Arabidopsis thaliana: one gene and its partners. The protein of the gene in region 3 interacts with the protein of the main gene of each other region in a biochemical or structural test. Each region holds a gene or a part of one and is shown on either strand. Other genes may lie near its edges. The genes, in order: HDA6, PRMT11 and HTA2.

The links.
Region 1: of the proteins of HTA2 (region 3) and HDA6, one has a biochemical effect on the other in vitro, tested with the Arabidopsis thaliana proteins (one study listed by BioGRID).
Region 2: of the proteins of HTA2 (region 3) and PRMT11, one has a biochemical effect on the other in vitro, tested with the Arabidopsis thaliana proteins (one study listed by BioGRID).

Annotation. Positions count from the first base shown.
Region 1 is NC_003076.8:25,310,648-25,322,279, forward strand, and holds HDA6 (histone deacetylase 6), read right to left. Parts: upstream 7,701-11,632; 5' UTR 7,581-7,700; coding exon 7,041-7,580; intron 6,624-7,040; coding exon 6,183-6,623; intron 6,089-6,182; coding exon 5,946-6,088; intron 5,688-5,945; coding exon 5,597-5,687; intron 5,500-5,596; coding exon 5,369-5,499; intron 5,257-5,368; coding exon 5,187-5,256; 3' UTR 4,859-5,186; downstream 1-4,858. Other genes in the region: AT5G63100 (S-adenosyl-L-methionine-dependent methyltransferases superfamily protein), read right to left, coding at 3,787-4,776; AT5G63120 (P-loop containing nucleoside triphosphate hydrolases superfamily protein), read right to left, coding at 8,320-8,438, 8,534-8,767, 9,290-9,516, 9,617-9,702, 9,807-9,899, 10,068-10,222, 10,307-10,468, 10,560-10,739 and 2 more. UniProt on the Arabidopsis thaliana protein: Responsible for the deacetylation of lysine residues on the N-terminal part of the core histones (H2A, H2B, H3 and H4). Might remove acetyl residues only from specific targets, such as rDNA repeats or complex transgenes.
Region 2 is NC_003075.7:14,485,739-14,496,740, reverse strand, and holds PRMT11 (arginine methyltransferase 11), read right to left. Parts: upstream 5,120-11,002; 5' UTR 5,003-5,119; coding exon 4,765-5,002; intron 4,670-4,764; coding exon 4,659-4,669; intron 4,537-4,658; coding exon 4,381-4,536; intron 4,285-4,380; coding exon 4,221-4,284; intron 4,141-4,220; coding exon 3,998-4,140; intron 3,908-3,997; coding exon 3,820-3,907; intron 3,713-3,819; coding exon 3,597-3,712; intron 3,507-3,596; coding exon 3,356-3,506; intron 3,195-3,355; coding exon 2,989-3,194; 3' UTR 2,740-2,988; downstream 1-2,739. Other genes in the region: AT4G29530 (Pyridoxal phosphate phosphatase-related protein), read right to left, coding at 1-140, 229-350, 440-577; AT4G29520 (nucleophosmin), read left to right, coding at 1,084-1,293, 1,384-1,494, 1,654-1,722, 1,832-1,963, 2,076-2,153, 2,244-2,375, 2,497-2,685; AT4G29490 (Metallopeptidase M24 family protein), read right to left, coding at 5,420-5,521, 5,631-5,774, 5,861-5,929, 6,026-6,131, 6,212-6,265, 6,460-6,530, 6,672-6,713, 6,873-6,956 and 8 more; AT4G29480 (Mitochondrial ATP synthase subunit G protein), read left to right, coding at 9,484-9,665, 10,290-10,476. UniProt on the Arabidopsis thaliana protein: Methylates (mono and asymmetric dimethylation) the guanidino nitrogens of arginyl residues present in a glycine and arginine-rich domain. Type I arginine methyltransferase active on both histones and non-histone proteins.
Region 3 is NC_003075.7:13,630,972-13,641,229, reverse strand, and holds HTA2 (histone H2A 2), read left to right. Parts: upstream 1-2,794; 5' UTR 2,795-2,904; coding exon 2,905-3,093; intron 3,094-3,508; coding exon 3,509-3,715; 3' UTR 3,716-3,994; downstream 3,995-10,258. Other genes in the region: AT4G27240 (zinc finger (C2H2 type) family protein), read right to left, coding at 1-224, 410-1,070; AT4G27220 (NB-ARC domain-containing disease resistance protein), read left to right, coding at 4,494-7,277. UniProt on the Arabidopsis thaliana protein: Core component of nucleosome. Nucleosomes wrap and compact DNA into chromatin, limiting DNA accessibility to the cellular machineries which require DNA as a template.

The DNA of each region.
Region 1 (11,632 bases), on a different chromosome or scaffold from region 3:
TACATACATCAAAGTATATACATATACCTGCCTTTAGATCTTTAGGTTCTTTGAGGATCTTGTATCTTTCTTCCTCTTTCAAGGGCTTTTACCTTACCCTTTGAATTTCGCTTCCAAAGTAGATAGAGTAGGCTTAACTCTTTAGTCAATGAGAGGGATATATTAGGGTTTTAGCCCTCTCAAAGAAAGAGGAAACCCTAATGTCAAGAAGAATTGAGAAAGGTTTGTATAGAAGCTGAGAATTTAAAGAAACCAAACAAACAAATAAAAAGGAAAAAATAGAGAAATGTTTTAGTGGAGAGGAAGGAGAAAGAGCAAAAGACAAAGTGTAATAATAACAAATGAACAATTAATAAACAGGAAGAGGAGGAGAGGGTATGTCCCTTAAAGAATGACTATGACATTTCATCTCAAGAATATTAGTAATATCATTTCACTGTGCTTACTTTTGTCTCCCATTAGATTATTTTTTAAAACCTTAGCTTTTGTGAATTTTTCTTCATACATTTAATGTTAACAATATTCCCTAACAGTCCCGAAATCAACCCTAAGCTAACTAATCAATTATCATTGTGTGTATATAAATATCACTATATATGATCTCTCTATATATACCTGTCTCACGCTGATGGCCAAAATTTGGAACCTCAAGAAAACCCTAAGCATCTCTCTATATCAATCTCGACTTTAATTGAATATCATAACAAACCCTGATTTGCAATGAGAACTAAAGAACATATTATATGACTGTTTTTGGCAGAACAAACTATACAATTAATATATAGCGGTATAAATTTGGTGACTGGTAACTTGTTCTCTTGTTCATACCGTTGTGAAAAAAGCTTGACATCCTAAAATTAACAGCAATGAATTGAACCTTTTTTTCAGGTGTGGCAAAATAATTCTTCAATTTAATTTAATCGAACAACAGTTAATAGGAACAAGAATAAACTCTTGAGACCTCAAAGTAGCTACGTAGAGACAGGAAATCAGTAAAAGTCAAGCGATTTCATGTGAACGATCAAGTCAAGTTTAAATAGGTTTTGTAAAATCAGAACTTTTGTAATGGAAAATAAACTATGAGGGGGTCCGAAGATTTTTGAAGCTATAGCTAGCTAGGGTTAGTATCATACAACAGTTACTTGTGTTAGATTATATATTATTGGAAGTGACAACCGATTGAGACATTTTTCATAATGTCTTCTTCTTTTTATTTCGCACCAATTCTTGGTCTAATGTAGAATTCAAATGGTTCAATATTGAAGATATATTAGACTGGCAAAATTCAAATGCAAATGTAGATCATAAATAGTTACCTAATGGAAAAGTAAATGAGATAATTTTCTTATTACTATCAGAAAATTGTGGTAAATTAACCTTTTGAATATTTTCAAGATCATTATTTGTTGGTCTAAGTTATGATGGTGGTTAGTGGTGGGAACTTAGTAATTTACTAAAGTGAAGCATCTATAGGCTTTATCACCAAACTAATGTCTTCATATTTTTCTTAAGATATTAATTTTGTGACTAATATATATCGGGATTAGGGTTCGAAAATAGAGGTCCTATTCTTTTCTAAAAGAGGAAACTAGTCTCGTACTTGGAAAGTAGAGCTTCTCTCTCGTTATGATACAAAAATTGACTGATTATTCAAAGTTTTCAATGTTATTGATTGCGCATTCTGATATGATAGATAATAAGTAACTATATCGAATAAGTTGAAAGTTGTTTGGAGAGCTATGATATGGTTTATTCGTTCCGTCCGACGTTGTAAATTCAACACTAAGCCTACATATTACAGAAGAAACCATAACAAAGTTTACCATCAAAAGATTAAAGTAATCGATTAGAATGGGTATTGATCTATATATATAGCCCTTCAATATATATAGAGAGGTTGCATATAAAATGATACAAATAGAGAGGTGGGGGTATGAAGTGTTATAAAGGGTTTGCAGAGAGAAAGAGAGAGAGAGGGAATATGGGTCCTCCTCACACATATGATCTACTAAAACTAGACTAGTACCTAGTTTGTCCCTCGAATTTTATTTTTCTTCTTGTAATTTAATTAAGTCAGTGTGACTCTAAGAATCTATAGAAACCACATTTTATATATATGGTCTCATTTGAAACAACACACACATAAGAGATAATGTTGAATTAATGAATGTGCATGTGCTGATTATGGAAGGGTAAAGTTAGAGGTATATATGGGAGGTCAATGATGCAACTTGGAGGAATAGTTTTGTGAATATGTCCTTTTGTTTTCTTGTTTGTTTTTATATATGTAGAATCGAATAACAAAATAGACAACAATCATGAATATGAAACACATATAGCAAAGGAAAAATTAGGAGAGGTAGAATTTAAACTGAAAACTCCTAATACGGAAGTTTAGTGTATTCCTCATACAATAAAAATAAACAAATTTAATAGAAATGGATAGAGATTTTATTCTCCCTCGGGATTGCTTATTGCTGCGTAACCACGTGTTGAGTCAAATAAAGTCAACAACCCTTACAGTAATTATAAATTTCGTTTACTATTATATGAATACGATCATGAAAATGTTGTATTTATGCTAAAATATATCAATGGCATATCCAATTTATTTCACAGTTTATCGACACTCCAACATGGTGGCACTGGTTTCGCGCTCTCTAATGTTCAACATGGTTTTTTTTTTTTTTTTTTAACTTTTGTAATTTCAATTTACGATAACAGTTTAAAAAAAAAAAGAAATTTAAAGACGAAATAGCTATGGGTTCTAACTTCTAAGTTAAATGATGAGATTCCGAATAGTTGCCCTATCAAGTATTATAAGAGTGATAGGCATTGGAATGATATAGAGATTTTTTTTATAACTTTCAATCTTTCATGACTTCACACTTTAGTCTATATTCTCTAACTACTCTACAATTTTAAAAAGTGAAAAAGACAATTAGAAAATAAACCTGTGGTGTTTATATGCTCTAGTGATACTATATACCCAACTACTGTAATTTGTATCCTATGGGCGAAAAGCCTACGTTAAGAAATAAGCATGCGTTTGATTTAATATCTCTACAATTATTCAACTTTTATTAGCATGTTTAATGGTAATTTAGGGCTAGGGACTATATAGTCTATATCTTACAGATGTAATATATTGATTACCAGGTACAGATCAAGAACTTGCGCTTAGCTGTCTATAGTTTGAGATGATAAATGAACTAAAAAAAATGCAAATGAATCATTAATCATCTTCATAAATAAAAATCATCTGTTAAGTGTAAACACAAACAATTCTTATTTTTTTTACCTAATGCGTTGGAAACAATCAAGAGAGCAAAATGATGATGTCAAAGAAAGAATGTGGACTGTAATGCTTTTGCCTTGTGATAAAGGTTCAATGGCTTATAACCTAACCACTGTCTATATCTTCTCCTTCAGAGTATGAACTGCCAGAACACCAAAGAAGATGAGAGACACAATTTTCGATTTGGATTAAACAGAGCGAGACAAAGATCATTGTCGAATTTAGGTTTAATAATACCAGAACAAATCATACATAACAGTAATGAGTAATCTCAAATTCTCAATCCCTCTGAAAGAACTAGACAACCTTAATATTCATCACCAATAAAGACACGATGACCAAGCAATAATTTGTACACTTGTAACAAACACTCTCTGAGACAGAACAAGTTTTGTGTATTAGCTAATCAGGTTTCATCATAGCTTGAATTCCAAACACATTGCAGCATCCATCACAAAAACTGATTATCAACCAATATCATCTAAAGACTAATATCTCAAGCAGAATTCTCTATAAGGTATCCACATATCAACATAGCTTCTCAATTCACTACGCGGTAATCTCTTCTTCCACGCATCAAGATCCGGTAAATCACCCGTTAAAGCTACCGAGCTATCATTCCCATTCCCAAGCGTTAGAACAAATAGCTTATCTCCAAAAACCTGACTCATCACTCTCAACGTTTCCTCCATAACCAAAGCTCCATCTCTATCTGAATCCTCAGCTTCCACACATTTACCTCCAACATTCACCATAATCCTCCCTCTATATCTCAACCTAGATTTCAAATCCTCCCACACTTGAGGATCTTGAAGCTCTTTGATCACACTCCCTTTACTAAACAAATCCACTAAAATACCCGAAAACCCGGTTTTAACACTAGCGTTCAAAGCATCACCAATGTTGATAAAAATCCTATCTTTATGATCTCTTTCGAGCTTAGAGAGACCAAAGAACTCTCTACCAACGTCAATCACGGAAGGGTCAAGTTCCCATCCATGGACAGCGATCTCAGGAGGATAAAGCTCAAGAATCAATCTAGCTGTTGAACCAGCTCCGAATCCGAGAATACCAATTGGTCCGGGAGGTATAATCGGAGGCAGAGTAGCGAAAACGTCGAAGTAACTATCGGTTAAGGTTTTAAGAAGGAAAGAGATGCTATGGATGTTACCGGGATTATCGAGAAGGAGGAGACGAGAACCAGCGAGTGGGTGATTGGTTTTTCGTGAAACTTCGATGACTCTGATGTAATTGTGACGGGATTTGAATTTGGCGATGGTTTTGACGTCCTCTGCTGGGATTCCGTTATCGTCGGCGGAAGTTTTGTTGCGGTGAGAGTCGGTTCGGATAAAGATTGGATTTTGCGGAGGTTTTGGCCGGAGATTGAGAGTTAAAGGAGGAGAAGAGAGGTTTAGAAATTGACGAGAAATGTGAAGTGGAGGTCGGAGGTATTGAAGAGACACAAGCTCCCTGGCCATGCCTGTTCTTAGTTACCGGGAAAATTTCGATGAATTTGGGTGATGATGAGACTTCAGTGGTTTGTTTAAATCCGTTCGGTTTAGTAACAGCTTCAATGGTTTAATTTTAGGGTCTATTGCAATCGGTTTTCTTCGGTTTGGTAACAACAACTTCGGAGAAAGTAAAAAAAAAAGAAGAAGTAAAAGCCCATATTTTTTTTAAAAAGTTTCTTTGCATTTTTCACATATTCTGATTTTCTAACTTGGGCCAAAATACTAGTCAGTTGTCACTGTTCTAATCAATGCAGCGTTTTCACAGAACTCAAAAGGTTGCTGAAAAAACATCAAAGAATCATTCATTCCCCTAACTTGTTTCTTAAATCTGCCGACATTATCATATGGCAAAAGAGACACCAAACCATCAAGCTGGTTTAAGACGATGGAGGATTCACGTCTGGCTCTGGGTTATCGTCATCCATTTCATCTTCACCGGTAGAGTCCCTGTAGATTTTAAGAGACATCAATTAAATTATTTATCTCCTGTTAAGAAGTTAGACAATGAGGATCAATTCAAGTGTTGGTAGATTTGAGTAGGAGGAAGGTTTTTAATTACCTGTCCGTAGTTGCGCCACCACGACATGAGTAACCATGAAGAGGTTTATCATCATCGTCACTGTCTGATTCATAAGTCGCAGTTCCACTCCAGATGCGAGGTTTTGGTCTTGTCTCCATGTCATCTTCCGGCTAAGGATTTGAGATAGCAGATTTAATAAGTTGGTAGTCAATAGGACAGAACGCAACTAAAAACATCAAAGAGAGAAATGGATGACTGAAAAATTACCTCGTCCAAAACTCGATTGACTGGTGGTGTGTGCTGAAACTGGACGCTAGGTGCGTGTATTAGTCCCGAAAGTTGTTCCAGCAACGTGTTCCTGAAATTTCAAAAAGTAACTTTCTCTAAGTTCAATATATCCCATTGACAAGGCTAAGAAGGTAAGCTACTGAACATGTAAAGCTTTCGTTAACTATTTGGAACCGGCACAAAGATAAACTCATATGTTACATACAGAATTACAATCTCGAGGGAGCATCATTAGCATGTTAAAATTACTAAATTAGAGTGGACTAGCTAGAAGTTCAGTGGCAACTGAAGTACAATGACCATAAAAATGGAAAGTAGGAGATATTACCTTATCCTCTCCATATCTTTGGGCGTGTTTAAATTCTCCATAGGACTTGGGTCGACATGAAGCGTATAATCTGGGCCGAAATACTCAAAATACTCATTGTAAGGGAGTTTGTTGTCCGGCTCTACTCCAACAGCAACTGCAGTCTGCGATGAGGCAACAGAAACAAACACTTTCAAGAACAAAAACCTATATGATTATCAAAAAACATAGAAGAACTGCAAAGGAGATGGAAAAGACCTCATAACACCAGCAACGGGCAACATTTCGAATAGTATACCCTCCACCACCCAACACCATGAGAGGAACGTTGTAAGATCTTAAGAACCGAAGGCAATCAGCGTGACCCTTGACTGATAAGTTGAAGCAACCCAACCGATCACCACTTAAGGAGTCAGCACCACACTGAAGAACAACTGCCTCTGGCTGATACACTTCCATAACCTTCTGGATAAGAGGTCTAAACAAGCTGCGGAAACTTTCATCGTCCATACCATCGTTTAGTGGAACATTTAGAGCATAGTATTTCCCTTTTTCAGCGCCAACATCTCTTATGTGACCAGTTCCTGGGAAAAAGTCCCCAAATTTGTGGAAAGAAACAGTCATAACTCTATCAGTGGTGTAAAACGCTTCTTCCACTCCATCTCCATGGTGGACATCAATATCTATGTAGAGAACCCGCTGCAAACAAAATTTGATGAAAGCATTAAGATGTAAGCAATGGAAACATCGTTCCACACTCAATCAACATTTTGAATGATGCTATCAGAATACATTAACAAAGCAACGGAATCCTAATTAGAGAAACTTAAAGAACCAGACGATGAAAACAAAGAGGCAATGTAGAAAACCATTCTCAAACAAATCAACATCCTTATCAGAAACACCTGATGCACTTGACCTAACATGAGATTCTAAAGGTAATATGCAGTTTAGGAACATGAAAGGATCAAAGCTCATTCGATAATCACACAAGGCTTCAAGGTTTCAGGTAGATTTAAGAAAAACCACTCAAGATAAGCTTAAACCCTAAAAATTTCAGAAGAACATGAAGAAGTTCTCTATGATGAGATCATAAAGAAGGAATGGAGCATTTACCTTAAACATCTTGAGCAACTCCAGAATCCCTAGCACGATGTCGTTTACATAGCAAAACCCAGAAGCCTCGCTTTTCTTAGCATGGTGAAGCCCACCGCCCCAATTGATAGCGATATCAGCGTCCTGTCTGTTTAATTTGACGGCAGCACCAATAGAACCTCCGGCGGAAGCACGGCAAAAATCAAAAAGTCCGTCGAAGACAGGACAATCCTCACCGACATTGAATCGCCTTAGGTTTCGTGCAGCGGAAGGATCGCCCATAGATTCCGGCGAAACGGAAGCGAGGAAGTCAACATACTCCGGCGAATGGAATCGGCCGATATCGGAGGCGTCAGCGAGGCTAGGGCGACTGATTTCTAAGCGACGGTGGAGGTGATAGTGAATGATTAGGCTATGAGCCATACGGATCCGGTGAGGCTTCATCGGGTGGCCTTGACCGTAGTAGTAGTCTCCGATCGTCGGCTCGTAGAAGTAACTGACTCGCCGCTTACGTCCGTCGGGTCCCGACGGCAGAGAGATGCCGCTTTCGTCTGCCTCCATCTCCGTCTCTCACTCAGAATCTCTCTCTCACTCAGAGTCTCTCTCTATTCCCAAGTTTTACTCAGAGCAAAATTTGTGTCAACAATGCCTGAGAAAGTCATTACTAGGAGTTGTGGGCACAGCTTATATATACACGCACATTAATGATTACTTACATTATTATCTTTGCGTTAAAAATTTAATTTTAATAATTACTGAATGTTAAACTAACGATCGATTATATAATTCCAAATTCGATTCAAACATAGCGAATTATTTTTAACTTGTTTTCCTAATGGTAGACAATGTTAGACAAATAAATGTAAAGGGTTTTTTAGCTAAGTATGATCTATTTACACATTTCACCTTAAGGATTCGTAACTAGATGTTGTTGGGAAAAAAGAGAAGATATACATGTTCTAGATGTTATAGATGCTTACATTTGTCTAAATTCTATTCGCAATACTTGAATCTCCCAACCTAATAATCCACATCCGATTTTTAAAAACAAGTTTCATTACAGTGTTACGGTTGACTTGAGAGTAAAGTAGTAAAGTGTATTTAGTTGATAGAATTAAGAAAAAGGCAAAATGTTTAGAAATATCATGAAGAAGAAGAAGAAGAAGCAGCGAAATCAGCTAAATAGTTATATAGTAAATGTTTGTTCTCTACGACAAAGAACTTCTAGTCGAAACCAAACGCTGATCATCATCATCATAATTAAAGGTTTTCTCATAGAATCAAAATGATGGGATTCTCTTTACCAAGTCCTCTTTCCACCGTGAGGTACAAAGTTTGAAGTCGATCTTGACCGTTTATCTCCAAACCCACCACCACGTCCTCCTCCTCTTGGCCTGAAGTTTCTTCCACCACCTGAACCTGAACAAATCAACAAAATTGAATCAGATCCTCGTACCAAAATTTAGCAAGATTGATTGAACTCATCAAATGAGAGAAGAGAAATGAGGTTTCACCTCCATAACCAGAACCAGATGATCGGACTAGTGCGGAGAGAGTAGGAGGTACAACTTGACCAGCTTCTTGAAGGATCTTGACAAGCTCTCTCGCAAACTTAGCATTGTCATGTGTGAAGAATGTAAAGGCCATTCCTTTAGCTCCTGCACGCCCGGTTCGACCAATCCTATGGATGTAATCCTCCAATGTATTTGGGAAATCATAATTAACCACACATTTAATGTCCTTCACATCTGTAAAACAAAACAAAAGAAGAAAGAAGGAACACAGTTGAGAAGTAAATCATAGACTGAGATGAAATGCAGGAAGAAGAACAGAAATTTCTTTGTGTAAATGAGTTTGGTGTTTAAAGCCTAGCTAAGGAGAGGATAGAGAACAAGAACCCCTTATCCCTACAACTGCAGATCTGGAAAGATCAAGAAACTAAGAGCAACACATTTTTCCCAAGTAAATGTGCCCACCTTAACTTGCAGGGATAAGGAGTGTTTGGGACGGCGTTATAACACTATTAATGCATGCAGGTGTCAGTCGCCCAGGCTGCTCAAAAACCAATCAGCTCCATGCCCGGGAGATGGATGCAGGAAACAAATTCTTCAAAGAAGCTCCTTTTTTCTTTCTATGTGCTTTTTTCCCTAATACCAGAGGAAACTGTGGAAAGCGGCAGCCAGGCGACTTTTTTTATTATCTTTAAAACCCCAAGAAAACGAAATGCTCTAAGTATAATCTCTCCTATTGTGTATCACAGTTAATCCTACCAAGTCCCCTTGCTGCTACATCAGTGGCAGTCATTATCGGGCTTCGTCCACTCTTAAATTCTGCCAAGACTCGGTCTCTTTCCGATTGGGTCTTGTCACCATGTATGGCAAGAGCTGGCCATCCGTCCATTCTCAATTGTCTAGTCACTTGATCACACCCTCTCTTTGTCTCCACAAAAATTAGGATTTTACTCCCATCCATTAACTGTTTAAGTAGTGTAAGGAGCCTATCAAACGAGAAAAAAGGCATAAGTATCATATCATATAAGAAGGCAAATAAATATATATATAAATCGTTTCTTATCTAATGACAGAAAAATTAAGAACCTGTTGTATTTCTCTGGCGTCGGTACAATCTCGATTACTTGGTTAATAGACTGGTTAGCTTTTAGATCTGTTGATCCAATAATGGCCTACAAAATAACAACTGTTTTCAGTGCACAACATAAAACATCCCCTACTTTATTCAACAACAGTATACTCAATCCTAATAAGTTAAACTAAATAGCAAGTAAACCTTATATGGATCTCGTAGAAACTGCCTGGCAAGAGTTTCAACCTCTCGTGGCCATGTTGCACTCCAAAGAAGTGTTTGTCTATCAGGTCGGATCTGTGAAAAATAAGGAACAATCTCAAGTTCTGAACAAAAGCCGTGATGGTTCTTATTTAGCAACAGAACAATAAACTGGGAAGATAAAATCTATCGACTAATAATGTTGGTCAACCACCCTTTCCTTAAAGACACTACATGATAGCTTTGGAGAAAGTACAAACATACCTGAGATACAATCTTTCTAATTTGGGGTTCAAATCCCATGTCTAACATTCTGTCAGCCTCATCCAGTACAAGGTAAGTCACTCTCTTCAAATTAGTGTGTTGACATTCCAACATATCAATCAAACGACCAGGTGTAGCAATTACAATCTCAACACCTGACAAGCCAATCATGATTCATAAACTTTGATGTTCCATCCAAGAACCAGACATGAAAACTACACTATTAAAAAATAAAATACCTCTTCTAAGATCACGAATCTGAGGTCCTTTAGGAGCACCACCATAGATACAAGTACTTCTAACACCAGACCTCAACCCGAATTTCCTTGATTCCTCTTGAATCTGAACAGCTAGTTCTCTTGTGGGAGCTAATATTAACACAATGGGGCCATCATCCTGACCTATATTACACCCCAACAATGCAAATAAAAAAGTTGCCGGAAAAATGAATGCAGCTTAAATCAGAATATCACATAGTGCTGTAATACTCACCTAATCGAGGTTGTGCACTAACGTGAACCAATGCTGGTAACAAGTAAGCCAATGTCTTACCAGAGCCAGTCTCAGCAATACCAATCAAATCCCTACCCTTCAACGCCATCGGCCATCCCTGAGCTTGTATAGGTGTTGGCTCAGTAAATCCCAATTTAGCAATTGCTTCAAGAATGTTATCTAACAGATAAAAGGAACCATTAAACTAAGAACCCAAATTAGATATAAATGAACTGGAAACTCTATGACCAATCCAATCAAAATACCTGGAAAGTTAGCATCTTGGAACATCTTCATCGGCTTAGGAACATCACGACCTTCAACGGATATATCCCTCTCGGTTCTGTACATTGCAACATCCTGCTCTGTCATAGCTTGCACAGTGGGACTCTCCACATAGAAATTCTTCTCAAAATGTACAAGATTCCCAAAATTCTGCTTCGGAAGAGAAACACTATCTAGCTCTCTTTTACTCGATCCGCCACGTCCTCCTCCTCCTCCCCAATTCCCTCCGCCGTTTCTATCGCCGTATTGACCATATCCACCTCTTCCACCACCGCGGCCAACAGAGAAACCGCCACTAGGTGGCTGGAAAGATGGGTACCGATTATAGCCGGAATTATCACCGGCCATTACCGGAGATGGTCCATATCCTCCACCACCACCAGTGTACCGTGGGTTGTATGGTGCGGCGGAAGGATCCATCGGCTGAGACGAACCAACTGGGGCGCTAAAGTAACACAGAGAAGATAAGTGTTACAGATCGAAGGAAACAAAAACGAAGAAATTGGTCGATTGGTTTCACTTACCCAGAGCGTTGGCGATACGAATTTGGATCAGCAAATCTACGATCATACGAGCTCATTGTAACTTAAGATGGTTATGGTTTTTGATCTCTCGCTCTCTCGCGTAAATTCTACTACGTAACCTTGGAAACGAATTGATGCTACAGAAGGAAGATAGTGCAAGGAAGACGACGAAAAGCCGCAAAAGGAACAAAAAGCTTAGATTTTTTTTTTGATTCGTTTTGGACAGTAAAATTCCCAAATTAGTAACCCTAATTTGTCCCACCA
Region 2 (11,002 bases), 850 kb from region 3:
GCAAGATCCGCAAGTTCCCATTATCATCAAGAGAGGTTGGATTTGTGTAAATCTCAGAAAAGCAATCCACCAAATCATGGTGCTCTAGTATCTTCTCAATGAAAAACTGATTTGCATCACTCACAATCTTTAAATCACATCTGCAAATTTGAACCAAACAAACAACACTCAAGACTCAACCAAAAAAAGAAACTGAGACCATCTAAGTGAACTGATCATTGTTCATACCCTGAAGATTTAGCTGATTTGATAGCTTCAATAATATGAGAATCAATAGGCATTTTCTTCAAACAAGATTTAATGTCATCAATCGATCTACCTTGTGATTGTAGCTCCATCATCATCCTATCCTTTTCAAAATCCAATTCAAATTTTGATTTCAATATGCGTAAATCATAAGAAGAGGATGAGATTTTGGATGCTTTAATAAATGAAATACCATAAGACGATTCCATGGTAAAGTGAAACGGAGCTGATGGAAGATCTCTGTGAGTCCCATTTCAGTGACAACCCAATTGTCACTATCTCCGTCGATCAAAGTCCGATCGAAATCAAATAATATCACGATTTTTGCCATTTTCTGAGATATAAACACAACGCCGGAGCTCTGCTTCTCGCCGGAGCTGCAAATCACTTCTCCTCTTTCTTAATTGGTCGACGGCAACATCCAATTGTCCGACGCCACTTTTCGTCTTGCCAATGACAAGTTTACCACTCTCCATCCTATTAATTACATTTGAGCCATCCAGTCGTATTAATTAATGGGCCTTACTGCTTGGCCCATTTTGTGCTGTGATCCGAATAATTTACCACACATACAAAAAAACAAAACAGTAATTATCTAACATGGTCGAGAAAGTGGACCCAAGTTCGTGTCAGCATTCCAACAGCCAATAAGATTGCAGGAAACACGTTAACAAGCGTAACATCGATTCCACTTCATGAACACGGCACAGGATCAAAACCCAGAGAATTCTTTAAACCCATGATCTTCTATATAGAACCCGTGAAAGAATTTTATTAAAGTCCCAAACTTTACCATATTTAAGAGAGATAGAGAAAGCTTCTCTGCTTCTGACTTCAATGGTTGTGATGAATCGAGTTCTGGTAGCTCTTACATTAGCTCTGCTAGCTTCGTCGGCGTTATTACCTGTTTCCGATGCCGCGAAGAAACCTTCTTCGACGCCGAGAAAGGAGGATGTTCCGTATATAAAGTGTCAGGTTTGCGAGAAACTATCTTCTCGGTTACACCAGCTAGTGAAGGAGAAGCAACAACAGATCTCTCCCAAAAAGGTTGAGTTTTTAATGTATTTTTAGTGATCTTTCTAGTTTGATTTGATGTGTTTCTGCTTACTGAATTTGCTGGTGGGAAATAAATGGTAGATCTCGGAGTATGAGATCATTGAGATTGCTGAAAATGTCTGCAATTTGAAGAAAGAGGAAGCTGATTGGATGCTTAAGATTGACATTGTTGAGAAAGGCGATAATCTTGTGGTAATTGAGATTTCTCTACCTCTCTCCCTTCTTGTTTGATCCGAAAATATTACATTGTAGCTTTGAGATTGAAATAAGTGGAAACTTGTACATTTGTTGTTGAATCTCAATGCTGGTGACTCTGTTAACAATTTGTTTGTTTTGACTTTGGGTTCGTAGCTGGTTGAGCAACAAGAAGAAGGGATGTGTAATTCCAAGTGCAAGACGATCGAGAATGCTTGTCAAAAGGTTAGCTTAATGTGGTCTTTCAGCTGTTAATACAATTGGATTTGCATTTCTTTGAGTATTTAGAGTTGGATAAATGTGATTTTCATCTGTTTGTTGGTGTGTGTTGCAGGTCATTGGTTACTCAGACACTGATGTTGCAGAGTATATTTACAAGTCTAAGCCTGATCTTGTTTCACTGGTGAATCATCTATGCAAAGATTTGACCGATGCTTGCAGCAAGAAACCTCCTCCTGTTCCCAAGGTACCTTTTATTGAAACTGAAATGTGGATCTTTGGTGATTTGTGTCCGTGAATGTTCTTATGTTGTTGCTGTGGAGATGACGTTTTGATAAGTGTTTCTTTATCTTTGCCAGGATCGGGTTCCTGGAGAACCATTTGTTGCAAAACCATCAAAAGATGCTGAAATGGACAAGATTTTGAGATCTATGCAGGTAATCTTTGATGACGTCAATCAATACCACTAAGCAAGGAATGCATATCCATGGAATGATCTTAAGCTTACTCTTTACCGCTATGTTCAGGGTATGCCAGGAGCACCTGGCATGAAGGTATACTCTAGAGAAGATATAGAGAAGGGGAATATCGGTAATGAAGATGATGATGGCGACGATGATGAAGATGAGGAAGAAGATGATAAGTTTCCCAAGAACTTGGTACATAAAGTTTCTTTTTTCAAATGATCAAATCTTTGGGTTAAACTTTCATGAAGAAGAAGGAAACCGAGATCTTTCTTTCTTTTCTCTAAAACACTTGTATGGTTTTGTTGGTTTTTAGGGAAAAGTTTTGAAAGAGAAAGAGAGTAAAACAGAAGAATTGAAGAAGACAATCACTAAGGAGTTCAAGAAGAAAGGTGAGGCTCTGAAGAGACATGCACAGAAAGTGTCAAACCGGGTCCGGAGATGGTGGAAAGGACTTGGATCGTCTTCTTCAAAGAAACCTAAATCCGGAAAGTCTGAGCTATAGAAACAGTTTTAAACTGGTTTTGTTTAATGTACTCTTTCTTCACACTTGCTTTTTGTAGATTTCCTTTAGTTTCTATAATCTTTTGGAGAGAATATTGAAAAGTGTTGACAGACATCAGTTTTGTGATCAACAAGGAACATACACGAGATGGTTTAGAGCAAAATCATTAATTTAACTTGAGATGAAGCAAATGTTGCAATGTGAAGCAAATGGAAAGTTGTAATCTGGAGAAAAAGAAATATAAAAACTAAATCACAATATGAGAATTGTATCTTCTGAAGTTCTGCTTCTTATGAGAGAACTTTAACGCATTTTGTAGTGTTGGGTCCTTGAGATCTTGCAATGCTGGCCATTCAAAGAATAGCTTAGCTTTATGTCAATGTCTCGAGGATTCTTCTTGTTAGGAGAAACGGACATAGTTCCAGTGATTGTCTCACCCTCACATATGGTTAACACATCTTCTAGATACAGAACTGTTTGTTTCCAGTGTGTAGCTCGGGATTTCGGTCCTGCATGTGACACATATGGTTGTTCAGTGCAAGTTTCAGATCATAATGAAACAATGTGCTATGTTTAAACTTCAAACCAAGTTATTCGATAACATGCCATTTCTTTGCACCAAAAAAAAATAGAATACTCAGAGCTAGCACAAGATTGTAGAGATCTGAACCTGTTGAGAAGCCCAGCAGCTTGTGGCACATGGTAAACGATACATCAAAGTAGGCTACAAGGGCGTGGATGTAGTCATTGCGTTGTGCAACAAGCTTAAAGGGAGCTGTGAAGGAAGCATCACCAGAGGACATCTTTGAGATATCCATCGTCTGTTACAAACCCATAAGAATAATGAAATGAACATTAGTCACACAGGTAAAGAGATACTACTAATCATCATCATATGATATCTTATATACCTTTAGAAGCCTACTATCGGTGACGATTTGGTTTTGGTCGACTGTGTCAACAAGTGGTTCCATCATAGCTTTTTTCTTAATACATGACATGTCAAAACCATACACACTGTTCCAAACTGTAGCAGAACAACAAAAAAGAAATTAAAAATGCAAATCTCAACAGACATCAAGATCAATGTTGGAAAAAAAAAGACGAGAAAACGTGTCAAATCAATGCACTCACATTCGATTTTGTCTTCTTTGTACTCTGAATCCTCTATGGCTGTAAGATGCAGAGAGGCTTTGTCTGGTAGCACAACTCCACCTTCAACCTATCCATAAAAACACAGGACCAAGAAGATTTCATTTAATTGGTTTTGGTAACTAAGAATCTCATGTAACAAGGTGGAGCTGTAACTTACAAGCCATTTATCACGAGCATACAAGACACTGTCCAACATATTTTCAAACAACAAAAAGTAACCCATCCATTCCGATATAATCACATCCACTTTAGGAGTGGGAAGCTCTATCTCCTCAATCTTCCCTTTCAATACCGTAATAACTGCATCGATAAAACAAAAATCATGTTACAGAACAGAAGTTATCGATTTGAATACAACTCAACATGGATAAAAGACCTACCATCAGAAAATCCATTAGCTTTAACAATCTCCTTTGCCATGTCAGCCATTTGAGAACACTCAACCTATTAAGAAACATCCTCAATCAAATCAGTCAAAATTGAAAAAGATTCTTCTTACTTATGATTATTAAAAAAGAGACTGAAAGATTGAAGACATACAGCGTAGACATGAGCAGCTCCTGCCTTGGCACAGAACAGAGACAAAATTCCGGTTCCAGCTCCAACATCAAGAACAATTTTGTCCTTGATAAGAAACTTGTTCTGATAAATAACATTCTGATAAGTCTTTGTTCTCACAACATCCTTCAACATCTCCTGTCAGATACCATTCTCAATTCAGTCATCAGATATATACAGAAGAAAACACAATGAATTACATTAAACTTCTAGAACAAAAACTATAACAAAAAAAACTGAGCTTTGTCCTCGATACTTACTTCATGGATTCCTGCAAAAAAAAGTGGAACCAAATTCAACTCTTAGTAAGAATTCATAACCAAAGAGCACAAGGAAAAAAATAGAACTTGAAAAAAGGGAATTTACCAAAGTGAGAGTAAGAATCGAAGTAGTAATCGGCACTGGTGGTATCATCAGTTACTTCAGCGGTGTCGGCGCTCTCTCCGGCGTCGAACATGGACTCATCTTGGGGAGTTTCCTCGCCGGCAACACCAGACCCTTCAGCAACTTCGTCTTCATCAGCATCTTCAAAGCGTATCTTCGTGTTCTGATTTGGTTCAAAGCTGATGAACTCATTCTCGTCGTGGTTACTGTTCTTAGTCATCTTTTTTTCTCGGTCTCACACAAGAAGGAAGAGAGGAAAGGGTTTTTGGGGATAGAGACGAAGTCGCGAGATTAGGGTTTTATGAAGACACGAAGCTTTTAATTTGAAGTTTTTTTTTTCTCTCTTGTTAATGAATTTTATATTAGAACTAAAATTGTGCTCAAGATATTTTCTGTACCGGTTCGGTTTTCGTCGACAAGCACCAAACCGGTTAGATTTTATCTGTCCACTTGAACATTCAATCGGTTTAATATCCAACCACACAAACAAGACACTGAAACAAAATAAACTACATGTACAAGATTAGTAAAACACAGGCAATTTTTCCTTATTCCCATTAACAAAAATAAAGGTTGTATTATTGAGTTTTACTTATCAAGTTTTTAATTTCCATAAGCTGCCTAAGAGTAGCTACGATCACTTGGTCGGTGGCCAAGGCCCTCCAGCCATCACAGCTTCGATCTCCCATGTCTCTCGTGGAACATTCGTCATGTTCTTGCAGCCATTAGCAGTAACGACCTAAAAAAGAAATCACACATATACAACAAAATGAGATTATTGTATATGACATTACTCTTGAGAGTGTTTTAACTTGTAGACGTTGTAGTGAATATGAATTTGACATTACCAAATCGCTTTCGATTCTGACACCTCCGAAATTTCTGAATCTCTCTATTGTTTCACGGTTGAAGAACTTAGAGGTTGTTGCGTTTGCCATGGCTGGGAACAGCAATGCCTTGATGAAATAGCATCCTGGTTCCACCGTTATTACCTGACATAAATACGATTAGGACAATGAACAGAGACGATAAATGAGAAGAACCAAAAGCATTTCTACTTGAAACAATCGGCCCTTACCATTCCTTCAAGTAGGTCTCTTGCAGTTCGTAATGACTTCAATCCAGGTTTCTTTGGTCTCTCCACTCCCTAAAAGAATGAAAGATCAAAGCAACGGGTAAGACACAGGGACTGTGGTTTTATTTACGTGATGATACTATTGGGTTGAAAAAAGATTTGATGTACCTTTGGGTAGCCACCAGTATCGTGAGTGTCGATGCCCATGAAGTGACCTAGTCCATGAGGCATGAAAACAGCACCCAAGCGCTGTACCATCATGTCATCTACATCACTAGGAACAGAGAACGAAACCATGAGAATGAATTAACCTTTAGAGAAGAGTATTGAAATGTCTAACACAGAGAGAATTACCCAGTGAGTATGGACCCCTTCTTCAGTGACTCAAGGATGATTTTTTCAGCTAACCTGTACATTAATTTGCTTCAGTCGACAAAGAAAGCTGAATAACCATATGGAGATGTATTTCAATTTATCTCCCTAACAAGAGGATAAATCAAAATGGACCAAAGCAACTGAGTTTACGCTTACATTGTCAATCCCAATTACTGCATCTGCATGCATAGTAGAACAGAGCTATATAGCATCTCAGTAAGACTTACTTGTGCATATCCACCCAGTTTACTCCTGGCTTCATCGCAGAGATTACAGAATTATGTGCATCCAGAACAGCCTGAAAGGAAGGCAAAATCAGAGAAACTTATTCAGATGTAAAGCTTCAAGAGACTCACCAAACTCTGGATTGTGCGAAGACAAAAAATAGAGCACACATTTCTAATACATCCACGTTGCACCAATCTTGTAAGGCACTTACATTGTAGATTAGACTCTGGTCACTTGTAAATTTACCATTGACCTGCACACCAATTGATAAATATTAGAGACCACTTTCTCTAGATAACTACATTCAGCAAATTATGATGTTCATGTAAACAAGATTAAAAACACAAGTCAATGCGGTGCAAAGACAATTCAGAGGAAAATTAAGAATAGATTTGATGCTAGAAGAACTCACGGGGAATGAGCATGTTATGTCAGACCCATAAAAATGGTATTCAGCACCCATATCAAGCAATGCCAAATCTCCATCTTCAAAAGTCTGCAACAAGTATTAAAACATTTTCAAACAGGGAATAATGAGAGAACTAAAAAAGCGAGGAATGTGTGTTCCCTTTACCCTATCATTTGGAGCCGCAGCATGCCCATAATGAAGAACAGCACTACAAACAATTTAACATCGTTTTGTTAGTTTTTCAGTACAAACACCTGAAAAGGAATATTTCTGCATATTCAGCAATAACAAGATTTATCCACCAAACTTACCTATTATCCCCTGTTGCACAAATGCATGTGTACGAGCAATGCCTACAGCCACCGTACATGTAGCTGTGATGCAAAAACATACTTTCCATCTGATATTCTTTCATGCCCGGTGTGACTTTCCTCATAACCTTAATGTGGATTAAAAAACACATGGTTAAAGTTGGAAAGATGTAAGAGAATTGCAAAAAGAGAAGAAAAAAACTGTCTACATGGAGTGGATAAGAAGAATTGAGGTCAGAAACCTAAGTCGTAAGATGATACAAAAACGACAGATTGTGAACAAGCCAACAGATAAGAAAATCGTTTCATCAATTTATTTCATTCATTGGTCTAAGCATACCATTTAAAAAGACAAACAACAATTCGAGAGAAAACATGTTAGGAAATCAAATTCACACCTCTATATGAGCTTCAGAACTTATATCATTTGCAAACTGTATTAGTTGAAGCTCCAAACTTGATTTAATAACTCGACATTCCGCCAAAATAGGATGTAAAGTAGTCAAATCAGTCTCAAACTTGTCTATCCCCTGAAATAAGACAGGACAACAGTAAAAAGAAATAATTACAAATGAGATTCCAAATATCAGGAAAACAGTACGAGCATCAGAATCCTGAAATTCTAGATCACAAGACATGCGGTAAGATAATTCATCTTCAGCATCAAGACAAGACAAACATAAGACCAAATCTCCAGAGAAAGTGAAGAAGAAAGGATGAAATGTCAAAACCTCAAAGCTGGCAGGTTTTGAGAAGTTACTGCTGTCAGTATTAAGACCATGCAAGAGATACAACAGGGGCTTTCCAGATCCCTTAAATTGTTCATTAAAGACTTGAATAATCTCATCCACATAGAAAACCATGTCAACCATATATGTTTCCTGCAACAAGAAGCACAAACTGCAATCACTATAAACTCACTGAACAAATTAACAAGACTTAAAAAAGTTCAAATATTTACCTTAAAATGCGACAATGGCTTAATCTCTCCCAACCAAACAGCATAATCATCAGGCAACCTTGGAATAAAAAGGATAGATTTCCCACTTCCAATGTCCTTCCAATATCGAAAGTGACTCAATGTCATTGGTTAAGCAACAATCAACATATATAGAATGAAAATGGTGAACGGGTCATATGTTCTTAAGAAATGGAGATATAGCTAGCAAAACTCACAATAGCTCCATAGAAATCTGGCTCTCTGACTCCAAACAAGTAAGCAAAATAACTCTCTTGCCTACAAGTCAGTTCAATATCATCTTATTTCCACTCAATACATTGAACAGATTGAAAGAGAAGAAACCTCGAGATAAAATTTCAAATCAATACCTGAAGAGCTCGGTGTGATCAGTACAGTATCGATTTTTCTCCTCGCCACCCTATCGTCCAGAATCAAGAAAATTACAAACTAAACACAATGAAAGCGAGCTCGGAATCGGATCATCGATACGTGTTGGAAATTATGTATATAAGAGCTAATCAAGGGTACCTGTAGAAGAACAAATCCATCGAGAGAACGATTGGAACTAGATAACTGACGGCGTATTGATTCTAGTAACTTTTTCCGGTTACCGGCGTGGAGTTCCATTGGAATCGGTGGAGGAGACAGAGACGACATGACGACGATGAGCTAGTTTTTTGTTTTTCCGGCAAGGCCTAATAATAAAGCCAAATATCCAAAACGCTGTCGTTTTTATAGAACTCGAGGAAAACGAATATATACGACGTCGTTCTAAGAGTGTGAAAGAAACGACATCGTTCCAATCGAAACGCATATTACGCCGTCGTTCTAACATAAAGAAGAGAAGTATTACGCAGTTGTTGTTGAACCAGTGGCCCGAAATCTCGAATCGACTCATCTCTCAGCTCACCGGTGCTGCATTATCAAAACTGCAGGAAGGTACGGCGAGTTTCTGGTCTCTGACCGATGTTTCTCAATTGGGTCGAGGCTTTTGCTCCTGCTTCTCTTGTATATGCTATGCTTTGTGGTTTGACTTTTAGATCTATATCTGTGATCTCTTCTTGCTTCGATAACGATTTGTTCGTTCTAGGAGTGACTGATTTGTAATTTTGATTTGCTTGATTGATTCACACTGTAGTTTGTTCGATCTATCGTTATGGAATATAGGATTTGGGGTTTTAGGCTTTTTAAGTCTTTAAGCTTGATTTGTGTGAATTCACTGAAACGTCTCTTGTTTGCTGTAGTAGGGAAATTTACAAAATTTTCAATGTCAAAATTTGATTAATTTAAATTTTATGATTCAAAGAATCTCTTTTTGTATTTGAAGGATTTGGTTGTGAAGATGGCATCGAAGTTGATACAAGTTCAATCAAAGGCATGTGAGGCTTCAAAGTTTGTGGCTAAGCATGGAACTTCCTACTACAGACAGCTGTTGGAGAAGAACAAGCAGTATATCCAGGAACCTGCCACTGTTGAGAAGTGCCAAGAGTTGTCTAAGCAGTTGCTCTACACCCGTCTTGCTAGGTCGATATCTCTCTTTTCCTTCTATATGAACATTTCCCTGGTCATAGTTACCTTATCTAGATTCTGGTTAGAAAGAGACTTTTGTCAATAAAGCATCTTCTTTGAGGTATAAGATAGCCAGGGAATGCTGAGCTCATACAAAACTTGGCTGTTCATGGAACTGAAAATGGCATACTATGAATCCTTTATTCTATCCTCTTATTTCTATGACCTCGTGATGCTATCTTTTTGTTGAGCTGTTTGTCTTGTTTAATCTGTTTTCATAAGTTGCAGGATTGTGTATTAAAGTAGTCAATCTTAAGTTTGTTCGATTATTAATCTCTAATAAGCCCATTTGCAACGATCATTCCAGTCTACTAAGTCTTAGATTATACAATAACCTGACTCTTAATCTTTTACGGTCCATATTTTCGGGTACAAAAGAGGTCTCAGTATATTGCCTTTTTCTTGATGACGGCTTTAGAGCATGTCCTGTTCCTTAATCTTGAAAAGTTTATACATATGCGAGTTCTATCACCACCTTTTGTTTTGCCATGAATTGAAGAGTTTTGGTGATTCACATTTTGCAATCTTGATTTTGCCCATAGTGTTAAGTATCTAACACTCTTCCACTCCTTATTACAGCATTCCCGGACGCTATGAAACCTTCTGGAAGGAAGTAGACTACGCAAAGAACCTATGGAAGAACAGATCCGGTCTGAAGGTAGAAGATGCAGGAATCGCTGCATTGTTTGGTCTCGAATGCTTTGCATGGTATTGCGCAGGTGAAATCGCCGGCAGAGGATTCACCTTCACAGGCTATTACCCATGAAGGAGAGTAACAATAACTTGAAGATTGTGTAATCCCCTCCGTTTTTAGTTTTCATGATTCTCTCTTGAATCAATTTTTTTTCCAGTTTATCCCTGAAACGGAGGCTTTGAAGCTGAGAAAAATCCATTTTGCTATAACTCTTTGATAAAGGTTGCTCTCAATAAGAACAAAATTTCCCAGGAAATTGCTTTCACTATAATGTTTTTGTCCTTGTTTAATATCAATATCAGCAATGATACAAAATTTGAAACCATATTATCATTTGCAATCTAATAAATATCGTTTCTAAAAGATTATGTAGATCTTCATGATACTCTGTTCTTAACATCCATAATTTTTATTTTTTGATAAAGAACGGCCATAAAATTTGGTGGTTGATTGGTAATCATGAAACGTCTTCTTTTTTTACATATGAGAAAGAGGAGGGACGAGAAAGCAGGAGGACCAAGAATGGGACCTTCCATTCCAAAGAGACACAATTATAATTCTTGGGGTCAGAATTTGAAAGAACAAAACAACAAACTTC
Region 3 (10,258 bases):
CTCGTTTCCGTCGGCGATACATCTCGGATGTTTCTTTTGTAACTTGCTTGCTCTGATCTTCACTGTATCTCTGTATTCTTCGAATCTCGCTAAGGTTTTTTGCATGTTGTGTACTTTCAAAATCCGATCGATTCTCCCTCCTTGATTCTCTGTCTTTAACCAGCTTGTTCTGCAGATTATCTCCACTATTCTCCTCGACGAGTCTCCTTCCATTAGCTCAGTCACTGAAAATTTGGGTTACCATTAAGAAACTCTGTAACCTAATTGTGAAATTCGAAATTGAAATTTACAAACTTTGGGAACAACTTTGCTAAAAAGTAAGAAACTTTGAAATTCGAAGATGAAAGTTATGAACTTTGCTATAAAGTAAGGAACTTTAAAATTCAAAGACGAAGTTTGGGAAATTTACCGGCGTGTTTGGTTAGATGATGAGCTTCTGCAGCTTCGAGTTTGCTAAATTTCTCGCCGCATTTATGGCAAGAAACAGAGGAATTGTCTCCGTTAATGGCGGCTTCTCTATCATTCTCTCTTCTGCTCTGGTGAAACCCTAATCCTTCTCTATCTAAAGAAGAAGCCTTTCTCGAAGTTTGGCTACGGCGTGAAGAAGAGTAATTGACCGGCGTCCCTGGTCTAAGATTCCCGACGAATTCTGTTGCTCCGGCGGCGGTGATCTTGAGCTCGCAGGTGGAGTTGCTAAAGATTACATCGTGAGTAATGGGATTGAGAAACTCGCTGCTTCCTATAGAACGAGGGCTAGAGCAAAGCGGCTTCTCTAAATGCCGTTGGTTTCCATGGATTACGTCTTTAAGATTGGCTATGGATCTTGAACAACCGGACCTGCCGCCGACCCCGCCGCCGGAGGAGGTTGTTGTTCTCTTAGTGGATATGGGAGCTAGCTCTTTTTTGGATCTCGGAATGTGGACATCGGAGACATCAGATTTGCAGGGGAGAGATTTCTTAAGTGAAAACCAAACACTGGGTAGCTTTTTTTTCTTTTGAGTATCGGTGTTTTCTCTCTGTATCGTCTTCTTCTTCTTCTTCTTCTCGCTTCTTGTGCTTGAAGCTTCCATTTTTCTATCCTCTCTAGTCTCTTTTGTCTTCTAAGACAATAAGAACGAAAGAAGCAAAAAAAAAGAAAAAAACGTAACTTAACAAGAAATTTTTTGAAATGAATGGTAGCGAGTTTCTATTTTTTTGAATTGGAGAACCTTCTTCTTCTGGCAATTTTCTAGGGAGAGAGATAGTGAAGAGAATGGGAAAAATAATTATTGAGTCGTCAGAGCTCTGAAGATAAGAAGATACACAAAATTTGAAAATTTAAATGAAAACAAGAAAATACTCCCAAAAGTGTTTTTAGACTCAAAATAATGTTAGTTTTCTTCATCATTGTTAAATTCATATGTATTGGATACATGGGTTGATGGTAATATGAAAGGTCTTGAATATGGACAGCACAACGCAAAGTACAACAAACCAAGTGGAATAAGGTCGGAATCAATGTGGTTTAACGTAAAATGGATGGAACAAATAGTGTGAAATGGATATAAAGAAAATTTGAATGGTGTTCGTATTTACTTCTTATGAATTTTTCTTTCATGTTGTTCGATACGTCAAGACAATAGTTATTGTACTTAGGTAACTTAGCTATCTATGGTACTATTTGATTCACGAGGCCACAGTAGATTTGGTTGTCTTCAGACTAAAAATACAAGTATGTACAATCTCACATTTCCCAAATCTAATGCTTCCAATATGTTTTGCTTTTGCAGTTTGGATTGTATTTAAATCTTCATATACTGTCGGACAACGATACCTCCACAATATGTGTTTGTCCTTCGAACAAGCATTCGAGTCGAGAAACAAAAAAAAAGATTGGAAGTATGACTTGTCAATACCAACAAGTATTTTGTATTAAAAATTCTCATTTCTACAGTAACCTAAAAAGCTGTCTGTTTTCATAAATTTCCAATTACTTTTTCCTTTTCTTTCTAACACGAATAATGATTTTTTTAGGTCATGAAACGAATAATGACTATGTTGTGATTTTCAAGCATTAAAGACATTTCAACATCCTACACACTAAAGAACAATTCAAGTATTGTACATCCACCGATCTTTTGTTAACATCATAACCATCCCACCACGTTCACGTCACTCATTTTTTCAAATGTCTCTCATTGGGTTTACTTTCTTTGTTATCCATCTTCGGAGAAATTAGCTTGACATTAATACTTTTTTGACAAATTGTAACGTTTTCTCCGGAGATGGATAACAACGAAAGTAACGTTGTCTAAATTAATATTACAACTTTTGAGTTCTTACTAACTGAGAAGATTTGTGGCTTTTCAGCCACCACAATATGTCATACAACTTGCAACTGTTATTATCCAAATTTAAACCCACATAAAGAATACGTCTAAAAAGCAAACAATAATCATTACAACACTTAGTAAGTTATAACTTCTCCCTAACTTCTTTGAAATTTTGATAAAAAGGAAAATACATATGTACAAGAAGTGAAGAAACAATTTATTTGGGCCGAACAGTGTTAAATTTTGGGCCAGATAACGTTAAAATAAAAAGGAGTATTTCTATTTAACAAGCCCAATATAGCCCATATAACAATCCATTGAAATCATCGGAGAACCAAAAAAAGGACAAAGCAGGTGGGCGCACGAATCTCAAATCACGTCCCTTAAACTTGTAACAATCTGACGGTGTAGATTATCGATCCATGCAGTGTCATATCATTGGTCAGAAATATTTTCTATCTCGCCACTATATTAATCATCATGGCGGGTTTCGCTGATACTCATTATTGTTATTTTTGACAGAGAGAAATTTCTCAGTTACGCTTCATCCTCCTCTAAGAGATCTTTTTTCTATCTTGGGTAGTAGAGAGAAATGGCGGGTCGGGGAAAACAACTTGGATCTGGTGCAGCGAAGAAGTCTACTTCTCGTAGTAGCAAGGCTGGGCTTCAATTCCCTGTTGGTCGTATCGCTCGATTTTTGAAAGCCGGTAAGTACGCCGAGCGTGTTGGTGCCGGAGCTCCGGTCTATCTCGCCGCCGTTCTTGAATACCTCGCCGCTGAGGTAATCAGTCTCTTCTATTTATCACCTGTTTAATTTACTCTTTTTACCGAATTAAATGGTTATAGCTTGCATCTAGGGTTCTGGATTTTAGATTTTCTTACCCCTTTCGTTAAATTATGCGAAATTTGGAATATTTTAGAATGCATTAGTTCCTTAGTTTGTTTTTTTCTTGGGAAAAATTGTCCATTTTTTTTGTGTAGTTTTGAGCTCAATTTGTGTTTCTTTGTGCTCATCATGCTTATCGAAATTAGGGTTAAATTTGTTCCTTACTACTTTGAGTTATCATAGTTGGCACTGATTGATACTGTCAATTGTGTTCTCAAATTCGAAAAATGTTGTTGTTCACTTAGTTTTGTCTTTGGATATGTGAACATGTCTGCTTGGGAACTGAATTTGGTGCGCTCACTTTCTATAGGTACTTGAGCTTGCTGGGAACGCAGCGAGAGACAACAAGAAGACCCGTATAGTTCCACGACACATTCAGCTTGCTGTGAGGAATGATGAGGAGCTAAGCAAGTTGCTTGGAGATGTGACAATTGCTAATGGAGGAGTGATGCCTAACATCCACAATCTCCTTCTCCCCAAGAAGGCTGGTTCATCTAAGCCTACTGAAGAAGATTAGGTTCATTACGAAGATAGGGAAAGCTGGAAACTGGTTGATATCAGATAATGCTTAGGATTGTTTTTTTTTTCATTTGCTTTTCCTCTGCAGCAATGGAAGCTGTGTGGTTGTACTAGTTGTTAAGGTTACCTTTGTTTCACTTTATGTGAATATATGAAGAAATTGTTCTATTTCAGTCTTGACTCCACTTCTTTAGCATTGTTCACTGATTCATTTGTTGTTCCTGAAAGTCAATTTAAATTCCTTCGATAAGCTACACGAAACTGCACACATAGTCACATGTAACTTGTTTTTAAACTTTTTGTTTTGTTTTGTTTTTGGTTGAAAACTCGAGAAAAAAAGAATCAGTAGACCCATAATCACAGAAAAGTCAAGCCACCAAGCGATTCGACATAGACAGTGGAGAAGTGACGAGATTGAGAGAATCGAGGCGAGAGAGAGAGAGAGACAGGGACGATTCGGTTTAGAGCTCTCGTATGAGGTATATTTCAATTTCGTTTTCGGCGATATCTTGTGTCGCAAATGTCAATAAAACGAAATTTAGTAGATTGTTGATGAAAGTCATTGGCTATAGACTCTGTTATCCTAAAGAAGATTAGTCCATAGACTCTGTTACCCCTCCAGGTTTTAACCAAGACCCCCCCTACCTTGATCTCTGAATGCCAGTTTGATGCGTCATGGCATGGAAATGATCTACTTAGCAGTCATGGATCTCGTAATAGCCTTTTCTCGCATGTAAACTTATTGGTTCCTGAATGGCTATGAAATAATCTTTGGCATGTGTTCGAGAGCCCATAGAGTCATGTTCAGATCGAACGCAAGAGCGTTGAATAGAGCATTGGAGAGACTAAAGAATGTGCAGACCAAGGTGAATGAAGCTCTTAAGAGATCAGGGATCCAAGAGAAATCTTTGGAGCGAAAGCTGAGGATATGGCTAAGAAAGGTCGAAGAGAATGTGCCTCTTGGTGAGCTGATTTTGGAGAAACGCTCTTCATGTGCTATATGGCTGAGCGACAAAGATGTGGAAATTCTTGAGAAAGTCAAAAGGCTGGAGGAGCAAGGCCAAGATCTCATAAAAAAGATTTCAGTCAACAAGTCATCTAGAGAAATAGTTGAACGGGTCTTGGGGCCTTCATTTCATCCTCAAAAAACAGCACTGGAGATGTTGGATAAGCTAAAGGATTGTTTGAAGAAGAAGAATGTTCAAAAGATTGGTGTTTGGGGTATGGGCGGTGTTGGGAAGACAACACTTGTCAGGACGCTTAACAATGATCTCTTGAAATATGCTGCTACTCAACAGTTTGCTTTGGTAATTTGGGTGACAGTGTCGAAAGATTTTGACTTAAAAAGGGTCCAGATGGACATAGCCAAGAGACTGGGCAAGCGATTTACAAGGGAGCAAATGAATCAGCTAGGCTTAACTATTTGTGAGAGGCTAATAGATTTGAAAAATTTCCTCCTTATTCTTGACGATGTTTGGCACCCCATTGATTTGGACCAATTGGGTATTCCATTAGCATTGGAACGATCGAAGGATTCAAAGGTTGTTCTAACTTCAAGAAGACTAGAAGTGTGCCAACAGATGATGACTAATGAAAACATCAAAGTTGCATGCTTACAAGAGAAAGAAGCTTGGGAATTGTTTTGCCACAACGTTGGAGAAGTAGCAAACTCTGATAATGTTAAGCCCATTGCAAAGGATGTATCCCATGAATGTTGTGGATTGCCTTTGGCTATCATCACAATCGGGCGGACCCTGCGCGGAAAACCTCAAGTCGAGGTATGGAAACACACCTTGAATTTGCTAAAGAGATCAGCACCTTCTATCGATACTGAAGAAAAGATCTTTGGTACTTTAAAACTCAGCTACGACTTTCTTCAAGACAATATGAAAAGTTGCTTCCTTTTCTGTGCTTTATTTCCGGAGGACTACTCTATCAAAGTAAGTGAACTAATAATGTACTGGGTCGCGGAAGGATTGTTGGATGGACAACATCATTACGAGGACATGATGAATGAGGGAGTTACTTTGGTTGAGAGATTGAAGGACTCTTGCCTGTTAGAAGATGGTGATAGTTGTGATACAGTTAAAATGCACGATGTTGTGCGTGACTTTGCTATATGGTTCATGTCTTCTCAGGGTGAAGGATTTCATTCTCTTGTCATGGCCGGGAGAGGTCTAATAGAGTTTCCACAAGATAAGTTTGTTTCTTCAGTCCAGAGAGTTTCTTTGATGGCTAATAAGCTAGAAAGACTACCTAATAATGTGATAGAGGGTGTGGAAACATTAGTTTTACTACTACAAGGGAATTCCCATGTTAAGGAAGTTCCTAATGGGTTCTTACAAGCATTCCCAAACCTTAGAATCTTGGATCTCAGTGGTGTTCGTATAAGAACATTGCCAGACTCCTTTTCAAATCTTCATAGTTTGCGGTCTCTTGTGTTAAGAAACTGTAAAAAATTGAGGAACCTGCCTTCGCTAGAATCCCTTGTTAAACTCCAATTTCTTGATCTACATGAATCTGCCATTAGGGAACTTCCGAGAGGTCTTGAAGCGTTGAGCAGCTTAAGATACATTTGCGTTTCCAACACATATCAACTCCAGAGCATTCCGGCTGGAACTATTCTCCAGTTATCAAGTTTGGAGGTTCTAGACATGGCGGGGAGTGCTTATAGTTGGGGCATCAAGGGAGAAGAAAGAGAAGGACAAGCAACACTTGACGAGGTTACATGCCTCCCTCATTTGCAGTTTCTTGCCATTAAGCTCCTCGATGTCTTGTCCTTTTCCTATGAATTTGATTCTTTGACCAAAAGGCTAACAAAGTTCCAGTTTCTATTTTCACCTATTCGATCGGTTTCACCTCCTGGCACCGGTGAAGGTTGCCTAGCAATCAGTGATGTCAATGTCTCAAATGCATCTATTGGGTGGCTACTGCAACATGTGACATCACTAGACTTGAACTATTGTGAGGGTCTTAATGGTATGTTCGAGAACTTGGTAACGAAGAGCAAAAGTAGCTTTGTTGCCATGAAAGCACTGTCCATTCACTATTTTCCCAGCTTAAGCCTTGCGAGTGGTTGTGAGTCCCAACTGGATCTCTTTCCAAATCTCGAGGAACTTTCTTTGGACAATGTCAATCTGGAAAGCATCGGAGAACTTAATGGTTTCCTCGGGATGAGACTTCAGAAACTAAAACTACTTCAAGTCTCTGGCTGCCGACAGCTTAAACGTCTTTTCTCAGACCAAATCTTAGCAGGTACTCTGCCAAACCTACAAGAGATAAAGGTTGTCTCATGTTTGAGGTTGGAGGAGCTCTTCAATTTTTCTTCAGTGCCAGTTGATTTTTGTGCTGAGTCTTTGCTACCTAAGCTAACTGTCATAAAACTCAAATATCTTCCACAATTAAGGAGCTTATGCAACGACAGAGTGGTGCTCGAATCCCTGGAACACTTAGAAGTCGAATCTTGTGAAAGTTTAAAGAACTTACCCTTTGTCCCCGGCAATACTGGTATGATCAACGAACAAATGGCGTGGGAATACATGTCTAGGACTCTAGGGTAAAAGATGATCCAGAATGGGACCTCCAAATTTTCTTCCAAAAAAAAAAAGAATGGGACCTCCAACCTTGCGACATTAAAAGTGAGAATTAGTTACATTTTTTTTTTACCTATGAAACAAATGGTTTAACCTGTTTATTTATATTACTTACCCAATTTGGATTCTCTTTATGGAAGGTTGTTTGGGATGGCTTTGGTTTCTTATGAACAGAACTGACATGTGGTGTTTTCCAGGGACAAATACACAATGAAGTGGCAACTGCAGACAAGAATGTGATTTGAAAAGTTTTTTTCTTCTTCTTTCCAAAAACTGGCCTTATATACTACCTCGGTGTGATCAGATTCTTCAACCACTAAACACACAAAATCTGTTGATTCTTCTGCGTGCTTCAAGTGCAACTGTGAAAGGTCAGCTGACATGAAGTACTTCAATTTTTTATACATCCTGTTTGGCTTTGTATTCTGGTTGCAGACATACTCCCGTTCGTTTTTGTTTTTTTGTTTTTTTTTGTTTCTGTTTTTGTGTTCTTATGGAATTATTGTAAATTTTCTTACATCCTATAACATTGCTTTGCTCCTAAATGAGAAAACAGCCACTGAATCTGGTAATAAGGAATATATCTTAGAGAAAGTAAAAGTTTCCTATTTTTAAAAACTGATTTTCTTCGGGATGAGTATCCAGTCATCCATTAGCCAATTAGGTCATCCAAGACGCTTGCTTAGCTCCTTGTCGTTTCTCACTGCAGGCTGAATAGGTCTTAGGTACAAACACATTTTTGCTTGCTTTTTGCTCCTTCTCATACTCCAAATGGAATTTGTATAATGAATTGTTGTTATATCTACACATTAGCAAAGACCTCAAAAATTCAGGCATACTTTATTTACACTATCTAGCTTCTCTAATTCAATTCTTTTAGACATCTTTGAGATCATCCAGTCCAGATTAGAAACAGAGAAATGAGAATGACACCTTTGTGTGTGGAAGACATAATATAGATGGCAAAATCTCGGGATATGTTCATACATGTCATTATAATACATGCCTTTGGCCATCTAAGGTGCGGCAAGGTTGCGAAAATCGCTTCCTGTGGCCGATATATTTTTTGGAGTGAATAATCAAGAAATTTCATAAACAATTATTAGATAGTCAAGAACTTGTTGCCAAGAGTATGCCCAAAATTCATGACACGGTGATCAACATGGAAATTTTCAACGTTCACCCTTGAGTAAAGAAAGAGTTTACATGTTGTCAGGGTAAACTTTAACTTACTCAAATAATCATTTTCCCTTTTTTCACCATTATTTTTTCATACAAGTGGAAAACAGTGTGATCAATATGTACGAAAGAGTTTGATAAAAAAGAAGACTTAACCATAAATAAATAAATAAAATTCCAGTGGAACTTAAAATACCAATGCACAAGGTCCAACCATCAAAGTGGAGCCTTTCTTTTTTACTTGTTTTTAGTTTACTAAATCAAACCTTCAAAAGTCGTGGTTGCATGATGTATAACAATGGAGTCCTATATTAGTGATCCTTTCATCCATTTCCGCTAGCAAAAGTGGAGTTGTAGTTCAATGGATATTCTCCTCACGCCATGGAATCTTAATGGTAAGTACAGTTCTATACTGGTTACATTTGTTTTAAGTCTCTTTAATTTTCGAAATACAAAAATTGTTTTTTTTTACATTTTCTGAATATAATTTTCAATGGAATATGAAAAACAATGTTTTTTCAACATATGTTACGGACAATACGGTACGGTATTTCGCGATTGTGTCAAACTTTATAAAAACAGAATTTTGTGTATTAAAATGAAGGGAATGAATTTTAGATAATGTATTATTCAAAATACCACAAAGTGATTTACTATGATATTTTACCTCCGCCTTTGATGGCGGTTCTAGTTGAAGGCAAAATCAATACTCTGTTTTCATTGATAAAGCTTAAAAGGTTACAAGACATGATAAACTTGTTTATATATAATGTCTGAGACTTGCTAAAACCCTAGGAAGACAAGACAGGTGGCAGACATCAAGCTGGGATCTCTGAATCAAGGGTCAAAAACCGATTCTCCAACTTGATGTTGAATGCCTTTTCCGTACAAGCATTAGGTGAAGTTGTGCCAGCTCTGTTCTTGTCGTAACTTGGTGAAACTTCTGGAGTTTCTGTCTTTATCGCAGAAGACCGTTGCTTCCAAACTTGAGTTGTGGGCTTCTTGGGCCTGCATTGGGCTTTCATTTGCTTCTTTGCTGAGTTTGATGAAACGACAAAGTTTTGTCGAGGCTTCACTTGAATGGTGTTGATAGTCCCCCTCAAACTTGGTGTGGGCGAAAGAGTAACACCGAGTTTGCCTCGCAAATGTATGAACGCTTCATAAGGAAGTGACTTCGTGAAGATATCTGCAATTTGCTCAGAGCCAGGAATATGTTTCACCACCAAAGCTTTCAGAGCCACTCGTTCCCTGACAAAATGAAAATCAATGTCAAAGTGCTTTGTTCTGGCATGGAATGCCGGATTAGCAGTGAGATAAACGGCAGACAAATTGTCACAGAACAGCTCCGGTGTGTCGGGAAGAGGTATTCTAAGCTCGCGGAGAAGTGTGCTTAGCCAAAGAATTTCTGATGCGGCATCACTCAAGGATTTGTATTCTGCTTCAGTTGAGCTGCGTGATACAGTCGGATGCTTCTTTGAGGACCATGAGACAAGATTTGTGCCCATGAATGTACATAGACCACCAACTGATCTTCGCGTTTGCTTACAGTTTCCCCAATCGCTGTCACTGTAAGCCTGCAAGAGAGTAGGAGAGTCACGACTGTAGGAGATTCCCATTGTAATGGTGCCTTTAATGTATCTGAGAATCCGCTTGAGAAGATGAAAGTCTGATATAGTTGGCTGGTGCATCTTTTGGCACACAAAGTTGACTGCGAACTGTATATCAGGTCTTGTCAATGTGAGATACTGGAGCTTTCCTGCAATACTCCT